Linked DNA regions of Alligator mississippiensis. The protein of the gene in region 1 purifies or fractionates together with the protein of each later gene. This does not show direct contact. Links are inferred from orthologs where the notes say so. Each region holds a gene or a part of one and is shown in the gene's direction. Other genes may lie near its edges.

Region 1 (7,495 bases):
AGCTAAACTGTTCTCACTGGTGGCAGATGACTGAACAAGGAGCAATGGTCTCAAGTTGCAGCAAGGGAAGTTTAGCTTAGATATTAGGAAATTCTTTCTTGCTAGGAGAGTAGCAAAAGCACTGGAACAGGTTACCTAGAGAGGTTGTGGAATCTCCATCCTTGGAGGTTTTTAAGACCCAGCTAGACAAAGCCTTGGCTGGTATGATCTAGCTGGGGACGGTCCTATTTTGAGCAGGAGGTTGGACTAGATCCACAGCAGGGACTGTCTTTTCATCCATCTTTGTATGGTTCCCAGCACAATGGGCTCCTGCTTGTGCTCAGGGCTCGTAGATCTTATGGAAAGACAAATAACAGCATTAATAAAGATATGTAACACTAACAGAGACAGTGATAACAGCATAAATGGAAGCTTTTTTAAAGAAGTAGAACCAGGAAATTAAGATGGCTCTTAAATGGCCAACCAGACTGCATGTTCAAATCTGCAAGGGAAATCTGAGAAAAGAACTAAATACTTCATGCAAAATTTGGACAGTTGAGAATAATCCTCAAATAAAATTTAATTTGTGGCATGGGACAAAGGTGCTCAACCTCCTGCCCCCGCAGGCTGGATGAGTGGCTTGGAGCTGGCTCACAAGCCAATTCCCACAGGCAGGTTTGGTTTGGGGGCTGGATCCAGCATAGGGGTAGTGTACAGGGTCTGTGGGTACAATATAGCATGCTGGTCTTGCCCCATGCATTGGATCCAGCCATAAAGTGACTTCACACACCAGGGTGATCCAGCACACAGGGCCATGTCATCTGGCCCATGGGGTTCCCCACAGGTCTGGAAATGTTGTGGTGGCAGCAATGGCTGTCCTCAGGTGACAGCTGCTTGAGCTGCGCAGTGTGGATTTATGCTGCTGCTGTGGTGAAAAAACAGGCAGCAGGGCAGGCTCCCTGAGGTACCTCCCTCAACCCCTGGGTGCAGGGCTGTGGCTCCCATGGCAAAGCCTCCTGGGGAAAGGGCATCCATTCCACTCCTGTCCCCCAGATACACTACTGGCAGGAGAGCTGTGTCTACCCTGCTCCTAGGGCCACAGACTCATAGGGAGATGGGGCATACTGGCACCCTGAGTTAGTGCCCCTCTTACCCTACCCTAGTTGCATTAGTGTTGCTACTGTCACCCAATTTCCAGGAGCCCCACAAGCTGGATGACTCCAACCTGTGGGCTGGATTAGGCCCACAGACTGCACCAATGCCATAGGAAACTTTGGCTTTTCCTTGCTTGAAACAAAATTCTGGAGCACAAACCATCCAAAATAGAGAGAACAAAGTAACTGCTTTATAAATGCCTGAAGTGGAAACAAGAAGTAGTGGGGGTCTTACCTCTGACTAAAATCAGTGCTGGCAGGAGCTTTTACCTGACCATGAAGAAAGAAAATGCAGATGGACTTTTACTTGCTTTTGCGGGGGAGGAGGGGGGGTGTTGTTGTTTTGGAAACAGCATTGCCCAGGAATATGTCCAAAACAAAACAAGAAGGGGGATGGCATTTCTAAGTGTGATCGATTATGCCAAATATAGCTTCAGGGAATGATGGCATGGGGCTTTTGACACGGGGCTTCCCCAGGATGGGCATGCAAGTGCTGCAAGATATTGGCCGGTTGATGAATTTATTTGTATGGAACTCTAGCGTCCGTGGGAAGGTATTCTTGGGTGAATCTGCAGCCTTTTCAATCAAGTCTAAGATGAGTCCATCACTAGGGGCTGAAGCTCACTTTTATGAGCTGAGTCACTGCTACCAGAAATGGCCTTTTAGGTAACAATTTAAATTCTCAGGACTGGAATTTTTTAAAGGAATTTTCAATGATTGTCCAGTAGCACATTTATATTATAAGACTTTTTAATAGAGAAGCATTACTGAACCTAACTATATGAAGCCACATGGATTGTGCTCAGTCTTTGATTAATAATGAACCTAATTTGCCAAAACAGCTGCTACATGTCCCTGGATATAGATAGTCACTTGGTCACATTCACACAAGTGAAGAAGGCAGTTAAGCAGTCTTTATGCTAGGACACACAGGGATCCACTTGAACCTCAGTGCAAGGCCTGTCCAAAACCTACATATTTCATCAAGTTTATGTGATTAAAACACACCAGTTTGTGTAGCCAATGGCACACAAAGGGATTATGTGATTGGCATCACTTCTGGCCACCTTCAGCTCTTTGACTCCAATTACCAGACAGATTTACATCTGCATTGCCTGGGGGTTACCTTTGGCATGAGTCTAAAATGACGTTTAAACTCTGGCTTGCAGATCCATAGTAAGACACTTGATCCACTCTGTCACTGTGCTTCAGCTCTCAGTGCACCATATCATAATTTTTTTTTTGATTTGGAACTGATGTGCTTCTGACAGATTGCTTGCAAGATGCTTATGTAACATGAACAACCTGCTTGGAAGCACTAGAAATGTGGACTGACAGAAGCACTTCAGGTTGGAACAGACCACAATACTCCCAGTGATCACTTGAGATTAAAATCTTTGTGCCACAGATCATCAAAACTCAGATGCCAGTGTTGAGAACCATCCGTATTTGGATCAGGATGGAGCTATTAAGACCCTCAGGCTAGGGACAGAACTTAAACATAAACTGGTATAAGTGATTGGAAACTGGTTCAGATCTGTAGCGCAACACAAGTTTAGTGCACATAAACTGCTTTCAAAATGGCCAAAACTGGTTGAAGATAAACCTGGATGGGTGCAGTATCAAATTGAACTGATTTAGCTTAAATCAGTTTATTGAACTTCTGTCCCAGAGCTCCTCCAGGTTCAAGTTAACTCACAGTCCCCCAGCATCCCAGGAAGCTTTGCACCTCCCTGGGCAGCTAGGTTTGGCCCAAGCTGTTTGCCAAACAGGGAGCTGTGCTCTAGTGCCCCCCTGCCTGGCTTCTGGCCTGAGCCACTGCAGGTGTGTGTGGCTGCATTTCCAGAATCAAAAGTGAATGTCTGTTCACTTGCTTATCTGTTCAATCTACACAGCTTAGACTATCTGCAAAGCAGGGCCGTTGCTGGGGTGGGTGAATTGGTGCGCCCGCCCCAGGCCCCACAGAGCCGGACGGAGCAGCCGTGGCAAGTCTGTGCTGCCACCAGCTTCATGTCCAGCTGCTTGGCACCCCCCATCCCTGCCGAATCCGCCACTGGCTTCCTTGCATCTGTGGGCCCCACACAGCCTGATTTGCCTCGGCCCCCACGCTGCTCAGGTCATCTCTGCTGCAAAGATTGAATTGATTCAGCCTCAGGCTTTTTGACTGTCTGTATTTAACCTCAAAGTATCTCAGGGCAAATACTGCGGGATCACACAATATTCAGACTTATACTGAGAGGTGAAAAATGCTATGGACATATATAGAATATTCTAAGGCTATTACTGTAACACCACTCTAAGAGATTAATCAGTGTTTACTGTTCTTGGCTCACTGGGTGGGATTCATCACTGGGTAGGAAGTGCAGTCACCAGTTAATTAATACAAGTCACTAATACATGATGCAATACCAATAGCGCAGTTCTCTCTCTCCCCCTTTCAGGGAAATAGCAGCCTGGTTTGTTGCAATTCAAGAGGAGGCAACCTGCAGAGAGCAAGGGCCCCCATTTGGCAGGCGCGTGCACTTGCACTGGTGCTAAGAACCCCACACCTGAGCCCGGGCCTTCCCGGGTGCTGCGCTGCAAGCTAAACAGGTGTGGTCCAGGCTTGGGGGCTGGTCCCTAGCCCTGCAGGCTGGATGCATGGCATGGAGCTGGTTCACAAGCCAATTCCCACAGCCAGGCTCAGTTTGTGGGTTGGATCCAGCACACGGGTGGTGTGCAGGGTCTGCGGGTACACCACCTTGGTAGAAGTCCACCAGCTTGGTAGGTGGACCTTGGTAGAAGTCCCTTGGTAGATGTCCACCAGCTCCACCCAAGGGCAGGAGCTTTGCCAAGCAAGCCACCTGGTGCCAGCGCAGCTCTGGGGTCCCACCGTTGTCCCCCGCTCTCCTAACAAGGGCAGGAGGCGGGTGAAACTGGCCCATGGCCCTTTCTCCTGGAAGGCCGCGGGGCCTCAGCGCGGGGCTGACTGCGGGCTCTGCGCCGGCGCCCACCCCGAGGCACCCCGGGGGGCGGGTCTCCCAGGCCGCGCGGGGCCGCTGTGCGGGGCGGGGGCGGGGCGGGGCGGGCTGGGCCGCCGCAGCCCCGCGGGGGTTGCCATGGTTTCGCGGTCACATGCGCGCGAGGTCCCCCGCGGGGCGGGCGGGGCGGGATGCTCAGTCGGTGCCGGGGCCGCGGAGCGCGAGCAGCTGCTGCCGTCGCAGCTGGAGCCGGAGCCCGGAGCCGGTCCCGCAGCGCCGCCCCGCCCCGCCCCGCACCCCCTCGGGGCTCCCGGCATGAGCATCTCCATCCCGGCGGGGCTGACGGAGCTGCTGCAGGGCTTCACGGTGGAGGTGCTGCGCAGCCAGCCCGGCGACCTGCTGGACTTCGCGCTCCAGTACTTCGGGCGCCTCAAGGCGGAGGCGGAGGCGGCGGCCGAGAGCGGCCGCAAGGCGGGGGGGTCCCCGCCCGGCCATGCCCGCGCCGCCGGCCTCGCGCCCCGCCGCGGCCCCGCCGCCGCCGCCAGCGCCCGCGGCGTCAACTTCGCCGAGGAGCCCGTGCAGACCGACTCCGAGAGCGCCGACGACGAGGACGACTTCCCGGGTACGGTCGGGCCGGGGTCCCTGCTTCCCTCCGGCGGGCGGGCGGGCGGGCCGGGTCCCTGCTCTGGGCCTGCCGCAGCCCGGCGGGGACCGGGGGCCAAACCTACCGGTCTGGGATCTCCACCACTGCCTGCACCCCAGGGTGCCCCGAGCACCCCTCTGCCTGGTACCCTGTACCCAGGGGCAGGCAGCCCCCGGCACAGGGGCCCACAAAGGCATTTTGCTTCTGGGGGCTGGGGCTGCGCTGCCACTACAAGGACGGGACCCTTCGTGTCTCCCTTGCCACCTGCCCTTGGCGGGCCAGGATCTTGCAAAGGGAGGTAGGTGGTGGGTGTTTTTGGCACTCTGCTCCCTGCTATATACCTGGCGCTCCACCTCTAGCTATAGCCTTGTATACCTAGCGTTCCCCTGCTAGTTAAACCGGCACCGTTACTTCTGTCATATATGAACAGGCAGCAGCGGTGCATCCATTGGCTCTGGTGCTCTGTGGCTGCTGGACATAAGAACGGAGCATGTAAGAATTGCCGTCCGTTGGGTCAGGCCCCCTTCTCGGTGCCCTGTGTCACAGGGTGGCAGAGAGTGGATGCGGAAAGGGAGAGTGAATTGGGTAGGACCAGGGCTTTTTTTTTTTCTTTCTTTTGACCCCACTGTTCCTCTCTCACTTGCAGCCCTCTGGCATTAAAGGTCTAGGACTTACTGCATGTGCGCTTAAATTCATATTTCAGGGGTGTAGGTTGTAGCCATGTTGGGCTAAGGAGATGGGCAGACAAGGTTCTTTGGGTCACTCCAATATCTTTTATTAGACAAACTCAAATAGTTGAAACGATTCTTCTTAGCAAGCTTTCAGGCACTAACACCCTTCGTCAGGCTGAGGAAGCATCTGCAGATGGTCTGTGCTCCTTCTTCTTGGGTGGAGTGGTAAAACAGCCAGTACCTATGCAAGAAAGGCAGTTAGTGAAAATGTAAATTGAGGTGATGGGTAGGTGAGACACAGGTGGGGTGGAGGGGGAATGAATGTAGCTGTAGTCAAAGGATGAGACAGGAGAGGGAGAGGGAATGAGAATAGCTGGTAAAAAGTGGAGGGTTTACCTGGGGAGTTAGATGTTAGGCAGGTTATAATGTGTCATAAATCCAGTGTCTATATTTAGTCCATGATTTTTTTGTATCCATGAAGTGAAGTTCATAGGCTTGTCTATGAAAGGTATTTTGTAAATTCCCTTTGGGGATTAGAACTGAGAGATTGGAGAGAGACTGGTTGTCTTGTGAGAAATGTACCTCCACAGGTAATGTGCCCTTCCCACCTGTCTCTCACCTACTGACCACCTCAATTTCCATTTTCACTGACTGGCTTTCTTGAATACGTACTGGCCTCTGGATGCTTTACCACTCCACCCAGGAAGAACACAGATCATCTGCAGATGCTTCCTCAGCCTGACAAAGGGTGTTTGTGTCTGAAAGCTTGAAGAATTTTTCCAACTATTTGAGTCGATCTAATAAAATATATCCCAAAGAACCTTGTCTGCCTTAAATTCATATGGGATTTTACATACACACGCTCCTAGGTAATTCCATGAGGTAGACAGCAAGAGGTTAATATATTTTTCAAGTCCTGCTTAAATCACCTGCACAAGGGCCCAAGGCATGAGCATAGCTGTGAGGACAGCAAAAGAAGGCTGCAGGACCTCACCTGATTTCAGGCTCAGACTTATCTGTTCACAGCTCAAAATGTATTCTTTTTGTATGGCTGACAGGATTTATTGGGGACAGAGCATCTCTGTATTAAGGGGACAAGGCATAGCTGCCTTTGAAAAGGTGCAGAGCTCTCTGTTTAGGTAATGGGAACCTGAAAAGCAAAGGCTGATTGGTAAGTGGGGTTGAAGACTAAGGGAAACATTTTCATCATTCTGGATTTTCTGAGAACAGCTTGAACTTGCACTACGTTATTAGCTCACTGGAGCATTTCGCCCTTCCAGATCAAGTTCCAGCTGTATCTCATAGCAATGTCCAAAAGCTTGCAGTTTGCTAGCTGAACTGCACAAGCTTTTATATATGTGAAATATTTTAAGTAATGCCTTATATGCATTTTTTTTCCAAGAAAGCCAGATATTTAAAAAGCTCAACAGAACAAATTTAGCTTACTTAAATAACACTCATAACTTCCCAGTGAAATTTAGATGCAACTTGCTTATGATATTAAACATCCTTTCAATCTATACTTTGCAGCTAGAAGCTACTTGGCATATGTAATTAAGAAGCGTTTGTAGTTATCAGTCACATACTGCAGATTTACATGATGGTTTTGAACTCTTTTGAAACTGATGACATCATCTTTGAGGTTGGCATAAATTCCTAAACCATTAGTGAACTTGGAAGCTGGCACAGAATGATAATGAAGAAGAACTGAAATAATATCATCATTCTTTGATACTGAACATAGCTTGTATCAAACTTATAATGTAGTCGGCTGTTTAATCAGTGGTAAACAGACTGCAGGCATGTTACATTTACAGTGTGGCAAATAGAGCAAAGTAGCATGAATTTATTGGAATATGTGTGTTATGTGTGAATGTTTTCAGGTTGTTTTAAGAAGCCTTCTAAGAATTATAGTGAATATTTGCAATCAAGACTTTATTCATGGTCACTGTTTTGTAATCTTAAAAAAATCAACACAACTATAAATAGTTTCACATATAAAAAAGTCAAACAAATCTTTTAGTCAGCTTATTAATTATATGTAGAATAACTCTAGAAAGCAAAATGTGTGTGAAATGTGGGAGTCTT
Region 2 (7,450 bases), on another chromosome or scaffold:
TATGCATTTGGGTTATATCAAAGAACAAGAATGCACTTTTTTGTAGAAAATGATTAAATCGAGACTTCCTGACCAGTGAATGAAATCATGATTTAAATCATGGTTTAAATTGATTTGACTTAAAGCAAAGCCACCCTGGAAAGAAGCACACATGGAAAGTACTCCAAACTCCTATGTGAGTGCTTGAGAGGGATCCAAGACTGCCCTGCTGGGATTCAAACCGGTGGCCCCAGGGTCCCAGAGTCTGTCAAATTGGATGCTGACTGTATTTAGCCAGCTCCTATTTTGCTGTGAAGCTGTACTGCTTTGCTTGAAAATGTTCAGGCCTCCTCTCTGCTTCCCTAGTCAGCTCATTTCTGCTGTCTCTTAAAGTGCCCGAGCTTTCTTCCTTGCACGCTGCTCCCCTGCAGCGTACCCCAGCTCTCCCTTCTGGGCAGCAGAACAGGCTACAAGTCGTCCAAGTCTCTTTGCAAACCCACAGGCACCTCTTGCCAGGCAGAGACATCCAATAAGTGAAAGCATTTTCTTTTTCGTTGCTCACAGCGTAGCAGCAGCATTGTCATTGGGAAAGCTTTGCTTCCTAGATGCAGTGGCTGTGGCGATAGTGGCTCCTGGAGCTCCAGTTTGAACAGACACCGGCTTGTACCCTGGTCAAAGCCCGTTTAAGCATCACCTTGGTTAAGACTATTAATTGCCAGTGTTTTGCTGGCACTCGTTCTTATTGCTGCTCCCTGCGATGCTGAACCAGTGTTTATGCAACGCTGAGAGGGGCGAAGCAGAACGCTACTGTTGGCACAACGATCTCCATTGCCCAGAAAAAGGCTTCAACTTTGCACAGCCAGAGACCTTGTTACAGAATGATACCACCTGCCCTGCTCACAACTGTCTGGTCTTGCTTGCCCCGGGGAACATCGTCCTTTAACCCCTGCTGCCCGAGCTCCCCGAATTTACGCTGTTATGTTTATCCCCATTTTTCTTGCTGTTCGTAAAGGCTCCAAGACATCTGTTCCTTGACAGTAGTGGGGAATGAATTGCAAGTTTGCACCTTAAAGCATGCCACCTGTGAGAGCGACTCTCACTGCAATGACCCCTTACTTAGCACTGCAGGCTTTCTATGTTATTTAGGAGTGGGGGGCACAAGAACACATCACTTCCAAGCCCCTCCATAAATGCAGGCCATGCACCACATAGAGTCCAAAGCCACCCGTGCCTGGGTGCATGGTTTTATTAACACCGCAATGAACAGCAATCCAACATAAAGTCCCACTCCCAGGCTAGGTTGCTCAACCCCATGCCCTGTGCTCGCTTTCACTTCCAAACCGATAGGCTGCTCAAACTGCTGAATGACTTAGACCTTTGCATCAAATTTCCCCAGCATATGGCACGTCTAGCTTTGCCCATATTCACAAAGAAACGTGACCCTTAGACTCTTTTTATGCTATTAAGGCCTGATCGAATATACCCTTTTTACACAGAGCCATCTAAAGCAGAGGTGGTCCAGCTTTTCAGCAGCTTCTGGCAAAGATCAGTGCTTGTTGGCACAGTGCTACTAAGATCACAACCGGGAGATCCAGTTAATGGCTGCCAGCAACATTTTATTGTTTACGGCTGCTTTCATGACAGAGGGACGCTAAGTGTGATCTCTTCACAGTACGCTGTGGCATTTTTAGAGACATTGGTATCCCTATTTCTATATGACGGCCATGGGAGCTGAGTCAGAGAGCGTGCGATATATCCCAGACCATGCACAGATTAAGACGTTCACTTAGGTTAAGGTGTGAAGGAACCAAAAGGATCGTCGGATCTGCCCTCCTGCATAATGCACAGCAGGAATCCCCCCCAACCAATTCTGTATCAAGCCCATGATTTCTGTTTGAGCTAGAAGAGAGGTGCTCAACCTTTTGGCCCCACAGGCCAGATGAGTGGCGCAGTGCTGGTCCATGGGCTGGATCGAGCCCCACAGGGCCTCGGTTGTCATATGCACGGCGGGATAGGGCCCTGGGGTCTGGTGCTGACCCTGTGCACTGGGATAGGCACCCCCCCTCGTGAACTGGGACCAGGCCCTGGTGGTCCATGCTGCGCCTCCGCGCAAGAGCACAGGGGCACAGTATCATAGAAAAGTTGGGCTGGCAGGGACCTCCAGAGGCCACCTAGTCCAACCCCTGCCTGAGGGAGGCTCATAAACCATCCCGTACAACCATAATCTAAACCAAATAAAATCCCTTAGCTAGCCGAACCTCACCTGCGGGCCATATTTTACCTACCCTGATCTGAACTACATAAGATGACCCTTAACTATTCCACTACACCACTCCTTCCCTGCCACCAAATGTTGGGTTTGTGGAGAGCCCCCGAGGCTGGATGACACCGCACCAGGAGCCGGATCTAGCCTACGGGCTGGGGGCTGAGCACCCCTGAGCTGTAACGTGTCTAAAAGGAGACCGAGCTAGATTTCGAATCCAGGACATACATGCCAGGGCTGTGACCTCCAGCTTGTGCTCAGACCACATTTTTCCCTCTACATTTTCAACATAGCATAATTTTCCTCTCATCTTGAAAGCCTTTGAAAGGTAAAGATGGTTTTGTTGCCCTGGATGTTACCGGTATAAGGGGACATTACTTAATGGAAACAAACTGGCCTGAAGCTAAAAAAAGTAAAATCAACAAACCAACATTACTGCGGTTTAACTCTTAGGTGGTGCTTTACATCCCCTGAACTCAAAAGCACTTGACAGAGGAGTGGGATCTCTACCTTTTTTTCCTACAGAGGAAACTAAAGCAGAGAGAAGTGACTTGCCCGAGGTCAGGCAAGGCAAACCTCGCAGCAGGACCCTGATCTGAGCACTGTTCTGGCGTGATAAGACAGCGAGCCAGGCTGCCTTTTCAGCATAAAACACCACAATCCCCACAGGGCCGTTGTTGGTCGTGATTGTTATTACTATTAAAATGTATTCCAGTCTCAGTCCAAATCCAAGAGCCGATTAAATCCCCAAGCCAAATGAGCAAAGCTCAGTAACGATGTCTATACATATTCACGGATCTTCAACCAGGCCAGGATCCTACATGCAAGTGCCAGACCTACAGGCCTGGGAGCTCAGGGCCCGTTATACTGGATCTTAGACAAAAGGCTAAGCAGCAATCCTCACGTGCCTTTCTCCCTGTGGAAGTCCTTTATAGATGACGGTCGTCGTGTCGCTGCTGTTTCAATACACTCAGTGCCAGGGGGAAATGCCGCCATCCTGTCCCAGTGCAACTTATCACCGCTGGCGGGTTACGAGAGGAAAAGGGAGTGTGCATCCTTCTGCAGTACAGGGCCTGGCCACACCGAGTACTGGCTTGCTGAACATGGATTTTCCTTTGAGGTTTCCCCTACTCCTCCCACGGAGCGTGCCGAGAGCGGGGACGAGAGAGAGACGCTGCAATCCTGACTTCCCCGAGCAGCAGCTTGCAGGCACGCGCAGCCTAACGCTTTGCGCGACGTGCCGAGACGTTGCTGAGCGCTCCTGCAGTAGGGACCAGCTCCGTGTCAGGACCAGAGGGTGACTTGACCGGGTGCGTAGCTCAGTGGTTTTGAACCAGGACGCCTCGAGATCCTTTCCAGCGGGCCGGGGAAAGCCGCGCGATGTCAGCACTGTCACGCGCGTGCAAACCCGATTCATAGGCTTTGCTCTTCTCAGGCAGGAAGAAGTTAAAAGCCAGTTTGAAAACCTATCCGCAAACTGGACAGCGTTCGGTACGGTTTGAGCAGGGCCGACAGAGCCTGGATTTGCTTGTGTGACCCTCCCGTACCCCCCTCTACAGTTACAGTGTTATACGGCTCGCAAGTGTTACAGATACTTGTAACTCTACAGGTCACAGTGTTATAATTGTTACAAACACCTGGAGAGTTACAATACAGGTTACAAGTATTATACAGTTAACCCCGCAATGCATTCAGACCGCCTAACGTTGCCCACGCAAAGTACCGATCGCGCCAGAAAAAGGTGCATCCAGAGCTGGAAAGCGTGCGATAAAAAGGCACGCCTTTCATTCCTGTGTCCACCACCGCAGGTTGCATCCTTACGCCAACCCTCCTGCGGCCCCCGCTGGGGCGTAGATCAAGGGCAAGGTGGGGGTGGGCAAAGGGAGGACATGGAGCACCCCCTTCTCCTGGTAAATGGGGTCGTCTTGCAATCGAGTAAGTGACATTTGCCCTCGCGGGGGGCTGCTGGGGGGGGGGGATGGGGGCACTCCCACCCCGCCAGGAGACGGGCAGTGCGGGGCGCATGCGCACACACTCCCCTCCCCCCCACCCCCAGCTCAGCGGGGGCGGGCCCGAGTCTCGCGCGAGGCGGCGTTCTCGCGAGAGGGGCGGGGCGAGTGGAACCTTGTGCCGCGGGCGAATGTCTCAGAGTTCGGCGGGGCTCGGCCGGGCGGCACGTGGGCACGGAGCGGGGGCGGGGCGCGGCGCGGCGCGGCACGGCACGGGGGAAGAGCACCGCACGGACCGTGAGTACCGCCGCCGGGGCAGGGTTGCGCCGTTTCCCCTCCCCGCTGGCGCTGGGGGCGGTCAAGGTCACGGTCACCCCCCCACACCCATCCCCGTTGCTTTGGCTGCGGGTGCATGAGCTAAGTGAGCCCCCTTGCCCACCCTCTGGGGGGATGGGGCTCCTCCTGGCCCCCCAGACCCGCAGCAAGGCGTGGGGATCCCCCTCCCCAGACTCCCCAAGAAAGGAGCGGGCCCAGGGGTCCCTGGTAGATGCTCAGCCCAGGCAGCGGCGCCGCGTGAGCGCCGCCTCCACGACCGCGTGCGAACGGCTCCTTCGTGGAGGAAACCCTACGCCTGGGCTACAGGCGCCCTTTCGGCGGTGATGCAACCCCACCGAACGCCGGGGCTGCGCGAGTAAAGACTCGCCCGTGTTTGCACGGCGCGGGCAGGACGGCACCCTCTGGGCGCCGACAGGCTGCAAATTAGCTAGCGCCTCTCACGTCCTTGCACCACCTCTGCCTCCCTCGAAGGCTGGCGTAATGCTGGAGGATGTGCAAAGCCGGCTCGGCAACACTCGAGCGGCTTGGCTGCCCGGGGGGAGTTGTTTCGTTCGAGTTGCAAGTTGAACTTCTGTCGGCGGGAGGTAGAGACGCGCGCCGGCTCCGAGTTGAGGGCGTACGATGAGGGGTCTGCGAGATGTGTCCTAAGGGCCTGTCTTTTCGTGGGTGCTTTGCTATCCGATATCCTAAATCACATGTTTCTCTGCTGGCCACGTGTTCAGGAAGACCGCAGGGTGCGAGAGTGATGGCAGCACTGACTTTTCAACGCTGCAAGGGCCAGCCTGGTTTGTTTGGAAGGCGTTGGGCTTGCTGATGTCTGGCCGGTGTTATCAAAAGGCCTGTGGACTTTGCTTCTGGGGAAAGGAAAGGACCTGTTGCTGGGGAAAGTGATAGGAAAAGAGGCTAACTTCACGTCTCCTGTTTGTTTTGTGTCTGTGAATCATCTACTCTGAGCCCTAGCCGCAGGAGCCGGGCGGTGAAATGGGAAGGAGAGAGCATGTGACCTGCTGGAGCATGGTACAGCTGCTCCATGAAGCAGCGTGCCTTGTCCTCTGCGGAGAAGGCGTCTGAGCAGCGCAGGGCTTGGGAGTGGTGATAGCCGCTTGGCTGCTGTGTGACCTTGAGCAAGTCGCTTGCTCTTTGTCCCCTAGCTGAGCCATTTGCATAATGGGCGAAATACCTGTTGGGGCAGCTGCTACACCTCTGCTCTTGGTGCTTTTCAGTCGGTGAACTTAAAGCACTTCAAAGTATTTTTACTTTTTTTTAATGTTACAAGCTCCTCGGGCTCGCATGCAAATTGCCGAAGCGTGGTTGTAATTGCATAACTGACTTGCATTTCGGTACCAACCCAGTGCAAAATTCAGAGCGGGTCCGAAAGATCAAACCCCAGTCTCAGTTCTTTGCTGACTGAACCGCAGTCACGAGCCCCTCCGCTCCTTGCTGTGTATCGAGACTTCCTATCCTGACACCAAAATGCCGGCTCCCCCCTGCTTCCATTTCTGCTGTGGCGTTGCTGAGTGCATTCTTTGCAGTGCTTGTGAAAATCCTCGTGCACCTTTAGTGCTCGCGGGAAGAGCTGGCTCGATGGCCCCGCAGGCTGGGATCTGTCGTCTCCGGTGTGGATAGGAGCAGAGCATGCTGCCTTCTAACCTCTCGGCGTCACCAAGGTTGTAAAGCCACCTCAGTCTCCTGATCGTGTCTGCTCCAGCTGCCAGCGTGCTGGCCGGTTGGCTTGTAAGCTTTTGATCCAGACCTTGTAGCTCGCAGCATGCTCATTCGGCACCTAGCACAACAGGGCTGCGGCCTACCAGTACCGCACACGATCTGGCTGTTGCTCTAGCCAAGACTGGAGTTCAGCTGTGCTGGGTGCTTTGCAAACACCTAGGAAGCATTTTATTTGGGGTTACGGCCCGAGCCCAGCCTCTTTTCTTTAATGTTTTAAGGATTTAAGCTGTGTGTAGGGTGGTGGAGGGAAGTTCAGATGCACGGACTGTAGTGGAGCATAATTGTTTTATTGGTACTAAGTGATGTCCGCGTAGGATTTTACAGGGATACCGATGTTGCAGAATACTTTCAACTCTAGCCCTGTTTTATTCTAGGTTACAGTTGCAGTGATTTGATTTGATTTGTTTTAAGCTCTGTTGTATGGCTGCAAATGCAACAGTTTTATTATCTTAGCTAGTGTGCCCTCTTCTTAAAGCGGTTACGAGTTATTTCTGCTCATAGCCTGAGTGTGAATCTTTGAGAAGTGCTCAAGGCCTCATTGAAATTTGTAGGATTTGGGCACCACAGTGCCTTTTTGGGTCTGACCTTACGACTCGAAGTCACTGAAGTGCTTGAATCCCTTTTGAGAAGGGGGAGTTGGGGGGAAGGTTACCTTCAAGGAGGTCCTTTGAAAGCAGGTACCGCTTAATGGCAGGATTTCTGTGAGAGGAACACAAATGTTGTTTAATGCCACAGCCCTATTTATCTGCAGCTTTCATCCTCCCGGTGCCCTTCCCTGCTGTAAGCCATACACTTATTCGGGTAATTTTGCTGTCTGTGAAGCTCTTGAATAAGCAGATGTGTGTTGCCCTTTGAAATGCTCTTTTCAATCGATAGAAGTAATGAAACACTTAGATGGCTAACAGGGACTCCTTGATTTCCTATTTAAAAACTGATGTCAATGATGAGCTTTTCTCTGTCTTTATATACATACAACCAAGTATCTTGTCAGGAAGCAACTGGTCATTTGAGGTGCCTTTTAAAAAAAACCTAGACACTTTGAGGGCGAGTGCTTGCTATTTCTAAGGAGTTGAAGCGTAATTTTAGGTAATGCATCCAGAATCTGCTCTGCCCCAAAACTGCGAGCTGTCTGACTGTCCAGGCTGGGTTTGTATGTGGGTTTGAATGCTTAAAAAAGGCTTTCTTGTGCTTCATGATG
Region 3 (6,941 bases), on another chromosome or scaffold:
AGAAGCCTACAGCAGAGTTACTGGCACTCACTGGTTGGGAAACATAGGGCATCACCTGAATTTACAGGCTAGTATTTGGCGTTTAGGTGTTTCAGAAAGAGAAATTAATTCCATTTACAGAAAATGGAGTAACAGGATGAAACGGGAATCCAGAGTGATAAGGTAATAACAACAGGCAGGCTCACATACTGGTGCTGATTCCAAGCCTGTGCATTGAGGAGGTAAGCATCTTCTTGACACAGTCCAGATGGTTATGGTGAATAAGTGTAATCCAGCACTACAAACATAGAGGAGAAAATAGTCTAATAAACAGACATGGGCTGATCCTGTAGACTGGCCCTAGGCAGCCTTCTCTCAGAAAATGGGGTACATTTGTATCTTACAGACAAACTAGAGATGCATAAACTTTAATAAGCAGTAGCTTGCTTTATCAGATACTGAAATCATCTCTGTCCTTATGCTATAGGTAATGCTGCATATTATTAAACTGAAAGTATTCATTTTTTCATTGTTGACACCTGGGGGGACTCCTGCCTTGCTCCTTCGTTTAGTTGGGATGATAGAAGTCGAGTCATCAGCTTTCGCTATACGATCAGTCAAGCTAGTGGTGCAATATTTAGATTGCAAACACTGCAGGAGAATGTTTAAATCCTACCAAAAAGATTCAACTAATTCATTAAAACTATAAAAGCATGTCAGTCAAGTTTTGAAAAGCTTATAGAAGAATAACACAATCCAGCTTTGGGATCCAAAGTACCTGTTCTGCACGGTATCAGCTGAAGTAGTCAAGGGAGGTGCTGACAAATGAAAGCAACTGGCATACAGTAACACAGTCCTGCCTGTATCGTAATAGAAGACAGGAATCCTCGGACACATTAGGTCTCCAATAGAGATAACAAATATGGCTTACTGCTATGTAAACATTATTAATAAAGGTAGGACCAAGATGAGAGAAGGGATTGTCCAGCAGGTAGGATGCCAGTCTGGGCTTTAAATAACTAACTGCATTCTCCTAAGGTCTGCCCCTGACTCTTTGAGGGACCCTGGACAAATACACTGCATCCACGTTGTGAACATAAACTCGTTAAAGACTGTGAGGCATTCACTTAGCGGTGTAACAATGGCCAGGTGCCTGGGGCATTGGCCACACACGGGGGTAGTGGTGACTTCTGGTCATTGCTGCTGCAGGTGTGATCATGCGGCTGCTGTGACAGCTATTTTTTTCTGCCCCTCCTGCACTCCAACCCCATCCCCGGTCAGTGCCAGTTTCAGTTGCCCTCCTCCAGACGCCACTTTTATTTACTATGATGATGAGGCCTACATAAGTGCCTCAGATAGAAGTTTCCCCTGGACTTAATCTTGAAAAGTGTGACCCAATCACCAGCTCTGAATTCTAGAGATTAAATGTCAAACCAAACTAAGACGTGAGCCTGTGCCAGTGACTAACTCGCAAATCGTACAGCATGGCTGTCAATGCGTTGTTCCTAACGAAGGAAAAAATGAATTGGGCATACATAGAGCATTTCACGCGGTTTACATGGAAATATTGTATGGGGTTAGAATAAAATCAAGTTTGGGATACTACCCTTGTACAAGCTGATACAAATACCATTCAATGGTGAAATTATATATAATGTTAAAATATGGCATTTCATAATGGATTGTCACTTTATTTTTAAGATAAAATGATCCATTTGCAGAAATGTAGCGTGGATGTTTCTGGAGTGGATCATCTTAAAAACAGGCTCTTACCTGAATACAGTTGAAGGGTATATATTTCCTAGCTGCTTGAAAGCAGCAGTAATGGAAATTGCACACACATATTGAGGAAAGAGAACACCCCTAGGGCGATAAAACTCGATCTAACAATACACTGCATGGTTAAGTATACTACTCTGGCAAAATACCAATTCTTTTGTAGCTTTCATCTCGGCATTGAGCAAGCTTATGCATTTAATAAACTTATTTCAGGTGGTATTTTCAAGGTTGATTTGTTATGATGGACAGGATTCTTGGTTTTAGATCCCTGAATTATACATTTTGCTTTTAAAATAACAAGAAACTTAAATCGTGAGACTAATTCTATCCATCATACCTGCTTACCTACCTATTTATCGGTAAATGCATATTCCAGATCACTAGTACTTGAGCACCTGCTGTTACACATTTTATTTGAGCAGACAATACACTTTCTCACAGGCTCCCAAGCAGAGATGAAGTAGTGTTAGAGCAGGGGAAAGGCTCCCCATGGCTTCATGCTGTTTGCATTCATTCCCTTCCAAACCCATGTCCTGTATTTCAAGGGAGTCAAAGGACAGGCCCTAATTCTTCTTTTGTTGGCAGGCTCTGTTTGACACACACACAGGCCTGCATAAGCTTGACCCCGCAGTTAAATGCATGGGTTAGTGCAATGTGGATGGCCATGCCCGTAACCCAAGGAAGATGCAGTGTGTCCAGATGAACCAATGCAGCTGGGCTGTGGGTGGGAGCTGGGGCTCTGCTGGTCAGAGGTGCTGTCCCGCACCCCACCAATTCCATTCACTTCTGCCAATCTTGGTGCTCGAGGCCTTTGAAAGTCAGGCCCTGTGCCGCCCACTCTTAGAAGCAGGCATTCACCCAATAGCCTCAAAAAATGGCCAGCTGTTGCTAAGCCAACCTAATGTGGCCACCATTCCCAAACCCGGGGCTGGCCAATCTGCCACACTTATGCCACAAGTGGCAGAGGCATCCCATGTGCAGGGCACCTGGCTAGGAGTTGCCAGCCCTGGAGTCTCCAGGATTGAGATATAATCTTCAGGAGACGGCTGAGAGTCACCCAGGAGATAAATGATAGAGCATTCATTAAAATAGATATTAAATGTCAAATCCAATTTATACTGCAGTCCCGTGGGTTTTTACAGTTTTAAAAAGTAATAGTAACATACATTTGTTTTCCTGAGTACAGTAGATCAATCATTCATGTCTCTGCATCGTGTGATGAAACCTCCTGCGATAGATTCAGACAGAGCTGGAAACCCTGCACCTGGCAGATGGAAAGGGAGCAGGGAGCAGAAAGCAGAGCAGCAGATCGGGAAAGGCCCACGGGGAAGGAAGCAGAAAGCAGAGCAGCAGATCAGGAAGGGCGGACAGGGAAGGAAGCAGAAAGTAGAGCAGCAGATCGGGAAGGGCGGACAGGGAAGGAAACAGAAAGCAGAGCAGCAGATCGGAAAGGGCGGACAGGGAAGGAAGCAGAAAGCAGAGCAGCAGATTGGGAAGGGCGGACAGGGAAGGAAGCAGAAAGCAGAGCAGCAGATCAGGAAGGGCGGACAGGGAAGGAAACAGAAAGCAGAGCAGCAGATCGGGAAGGAAGCAGAAAGCAGAGCAGCAGATCGGGAAGGGCGGACAGGGAAGGAAACAGAAAGCAGAGCAGCAGATCGGGAAGGGCGGACAGGGAAGGAAACAGAAAGCAGAGCAGCAGATCGGGAAGGGCGGACAGGGAAGGAAGTAGAAAGCAGAGCAGTGGATCAGGCACGGGAAAGGGAAGGGAGTGGCACTGGGGGGACAGCCTGCGGCAACTGGTAGCCCCTGGTGACCTAGAGGATCCCTGAGGGCACCGCCTGGTGATCTGACACAGCCCCCTAATTATATCCACTTTATCCGCAAAGATGCCCTGTACCTTCTCCCCGAACTGCGCACCACGGGGCCCTAAATAAAGATGGCGGCGCCCACACACATGTTCTTGTCCTAACGACGCAACACAATGCCCTTAGTAAAGATGGCACCTTCTTAACCAGCTTCTATTGCAAACTGACGGCTGCTCAGACTCCCCGCCTTCCTTCCCTCACTCAAGATGGCAGCTGCCCACACTCAACTCCTACCCCGCTCACAGCCCAGTTGGCATTGTCCACCCCCGTCTGCCCTCAGTTAAGAGGGCGTCCGCGCGCGCTTCCGCAGGCGGCTCCCTCAGCAAAGATGGCGGCTTTCCCCATAGATGTCTACGGTGCCCTGGTGCCAGGCCCTCCTGGGGCGGCTTCAACGGCTTCACGGTCAGGGCCACAAGATGGCGGAAGCAGCTGCAGCCGTTTGAATTCCAGCGGAGCCGCCAAACTCGCACAATAATAACCGGGTACCGCCGCCGCCATGGACTCGCTGCCGGGGGACGACCCTACGCTGCCCCTGGACTTGGGCGGCAGGTAGGAGCTTAACCGCGGTGTCACCCCCTCCTCCCCGCGTGGCGCCGCGTCCCGCCGCCCGCGCTGACCCGCATCTCTTTCTCCCTCAGCGTCAACGTGGCCGACCTGCCCGACGTGCCCGGGGATGCGGCCCGGCCCGGCTCGGCCGGCAGCGCAGGTGAGCGGGGGCTGCCCGGACACCCCCGGGAAAGTTGGCGCGGTTCCCGCGGGCCCGCCCTGCCGCACACACGTGCACTTGACGCGCGATAGAAACCCGCGCGGGCGCTTTGTGTGCGACCCCGCAGCGGGTCGGCTCTTCTCTTTAAAACTGGTCCCTCATTTGTTTTCATCTCCTGCCACCATGACTTTGTGCGGGTGGCCGGGGTGCATTTATGGCACTGAATGGCGTGGCAGATGCTTTGTGCGGGCGACGGGTTTATTGTGCGATTCACCAGTGATGTGCACGAGGGCGCCTTTGCGCGATGCATGTATTGCATGTTTATTGCCTGGTTCCCCAGTGAAGTGTGTGATAATTATTTTGCACGGGAGGCAGGGGCACATATATGGCACGGTTTGACAGTCAGTTGTACGATTACGTTGCACGGATGGCTGGTCTACATTTATGGCGTGATTCAACCGTGATTTGTGTAATAGTTTCTTTGCATGGGTGGCTGGTGTACATGGCTTGCACAGTTCATCAGTGGATTACACAATAATTACTTGTTATGTATAGTATGTTTGTGTTTCACCAGTGAGTTGCGTGGTGATTGCTTTGCATAGGTGACCGGTATACACTTATAGCGTGTTTCACCAGTGAGTTGCATGGTGATTGCTTTGCATAGGTGACCGGTATACACTTATAATGTGTTTCACCAATGACTTCCACGGTAATTACTTGCATGCTTGGCCAGTGTACATTTATAATGCTTTCATCAGTGGGTTGAGCAATGTAGGCAATGTGTAGCAGGGGTTTAACATTCATAGCTGACCGCTGATTTTTCTTTTTCATCTAAATTGCAACTTGTTTCGGTGCTCTGTTTGAAACCCAAACCTGGGGAGACTCTGAAAGTGAAACTGCCCACCCACCCGAGTGCCACTGAATGCATTAGCCTAGCGGGGAGGAAAGGCGCAAGCTTAATGAAGCACCTGGATGCTCACGAGTTAGAGGGTTTTTACATTGTTTCCTAGGCAAAGAAATCTCTATTTATGGTGCACATGTGCGTTTGCCTACTTCTCTGGCCTGCCCCAATGGCTGGGAAGCAGCAGAGAAGACTTGCTATTTCTGTAACAATTTGGGGGCCTTCTTAAATCCAGCCTGCTCTCTGTTATCAGCAGAAGTTATGCATCTCGTAGAAAACCATAACCAGTGGCAAGGAATTGTCACTCAGATTACAAGGCACTATTTACCAAACAGATAACGTGATGATGGTGATGATCCCTTTTCTAAAAAGCCAGAAAACCTTCTAAACTCGAGCTACTCCTGCAGATACTAGTATTAGTCCAAAACATTTATGTTTCCGTTGCCATTAAGATCCTGAGGACCAGGCTCTGAACTGCTTGGACTAACTAGCACTATTGATGGTTCACTCTTAGTAATTTTTTTTTTAGAAAAATGGCATTAAAGTTTCATGCAGGGCTTTCCAGCTGCAGCCTAGTTAGGTTGTGAGAGTTTTGCTTTCTGTTGTGGCTGAGTCAGCACCTGCTCCATGTTCCTTTCTAAAGGGAAAAGAAAGTCTTTCCATAAAGTTTTACTGCCCTGTATTGATCAAGGACAATAATTTATCATCTTTTGCTTTATTGTGACCTTGTGGTGGCTGCCAAGTTCGTCTTATTGCAGGTTTTAGAGAAAATATAGCCTGATACATTGCTTTTGAAGCAAAATGGATGTATCCTATTATTTTGTGAAGTGCTGTTTGCACAGTTATAACAATTGTGTGCGTCTTGGACCATATTTCTGGTCCATGCGATTTGGAGGCTGGTCTGGCCACTGTGTATTTGTGCAGTTAACTAAAGTGTGTTGTAGATGTAATTTCAAATAGCTACTGCTGCTCCATTATTAAAGCAATTTATGTATACTTATCCTGGGAGCATATTAAGGTTATGAAACAAAAATACATTCTGAAAAACATGCTTGAATGGCAATATAGCTGTGGCTGTATTCTCTTAGTTGTTTTAAGAATGATGTCTCATTAGATTAATCACAACTTCAGGATTTTAAGATCTCAAAAGCGAGCATTTCCAGGGGTTTTTCAGACTGTTGTGCATATATAACTGTGTATGTAGAATTATTCCAAGTTGGAAGATACTTATTTTTTCTTTTAGTAGCCACAAGGCTGAATCTAGGACCTCAGTCCTTTCTGTGGTCTCTGAGTTCTACCTTTTCTCCTTGGGTTTATTTATTTTAAGATGCTACATTTTGTGTGTTGTTTTGATTTGTTTTAAGCATTTTTCTAGAACTAATTCCCCCCGGCCCAACCTGTTGTTTTTAAGATTTTATGCAGAAAAACCTTGGATGCAAATGCTGCACTTTGTAATATTGACTTGCAGAATTGGCTATGTGGAAATGGCACGTTTTTTAGTAGCGAGTTACCCATTGTTTGTCTATGGGTATTTCTTTGCTTCATTTTCCAGCATGCAAATGTTGCACTGGTGAATCCCCTTGGCATCTGCTGCTTTGAATGGGTGTTACAGGTATAACTGGGACGTCTGACCCAGGGGTGTGCATAGGTAAGCTAATGCAACCAAAACTTAGCTACAAAGCCTGTAGCTAAGATGAAATGGATTAATGCA

Evidence for each region.
Region 2: the proteins of PRKAR2B (region 1) and AKAP1 purify together in Homo sapiens (affinity purification with mass spectrometry; 3 studies listed by BioGRID and IntAct, counting the BioPlex papers as one, with this or other methods). This does not show direct contact. The link is inferred for Alligator mississippiensis from reciprocal best matches to the Homo sapiens genes PRKAR2B and AKAP1.
Region 3: the proteins of PRKAR2B (region 1) and CDK5RAP2 purify together in Homo sapiens (affinity purification with mass spectrometry; 3 studies listed by BioGRID and IntAct, counting the BioPlex papers as one, with this or other methods). This does not show direct contact. The link is inferred for Alligator mississippiensis from reciprocal best matches to the Homo sapiens genes PRKAR2B and CDK5RAP2.

The regions. Positions count from the first base shown.
Region 1 is NC_081827.1:27,443,728-27,451,222, forward strand, and holds the start of PRKAR2B (cAMP-dependent protein kinase type II-beta regulatory subunit), read left to right. Parts: upstream 1-4,408; coding exon 4,409-4,715; intron 4,716-7,495. UniProt on the Homo sapiens protein: Regulatory subunit of the cAMP-dependent protein kinases involved in cAMP signaling in cells. Type II regulatory chains mediate membrane association by binding to anchoring proteins, including the MAP2 kinase.
Region 2 is NC_081837.1:6,728,447-6,735,896, reverse strand, and holds the start of AKAP1 (A-kinase anchor protein 1, mitochondrial), read left to right. Parts: upstream 1-4,384; 5' UTR 4,385-4,488; intron 4,489-7,450.
Region 3 is NC_081835.1:56,638,219-56,645,159, reverse strand, and holds the start of CDK5RAP2 (CDK5 regulatory subunit-associated protein 2), read left to right. Parts: upstream 1-3,904; 5' UTR 3,905-4,119; coding exon 4,120-4,172; intron 4,173-4,261; coding exon 4,262-4,329; intron 4,330-6,941. UniProt on the Homo sapiens protein: Potential regulator of CDK5 activity via its interaction with CDK5R1. Negative regulator of centriole disengagement (licensing) which maintains centriole engagement and cohesion. Involved in regulation of mitotic spindle orientation.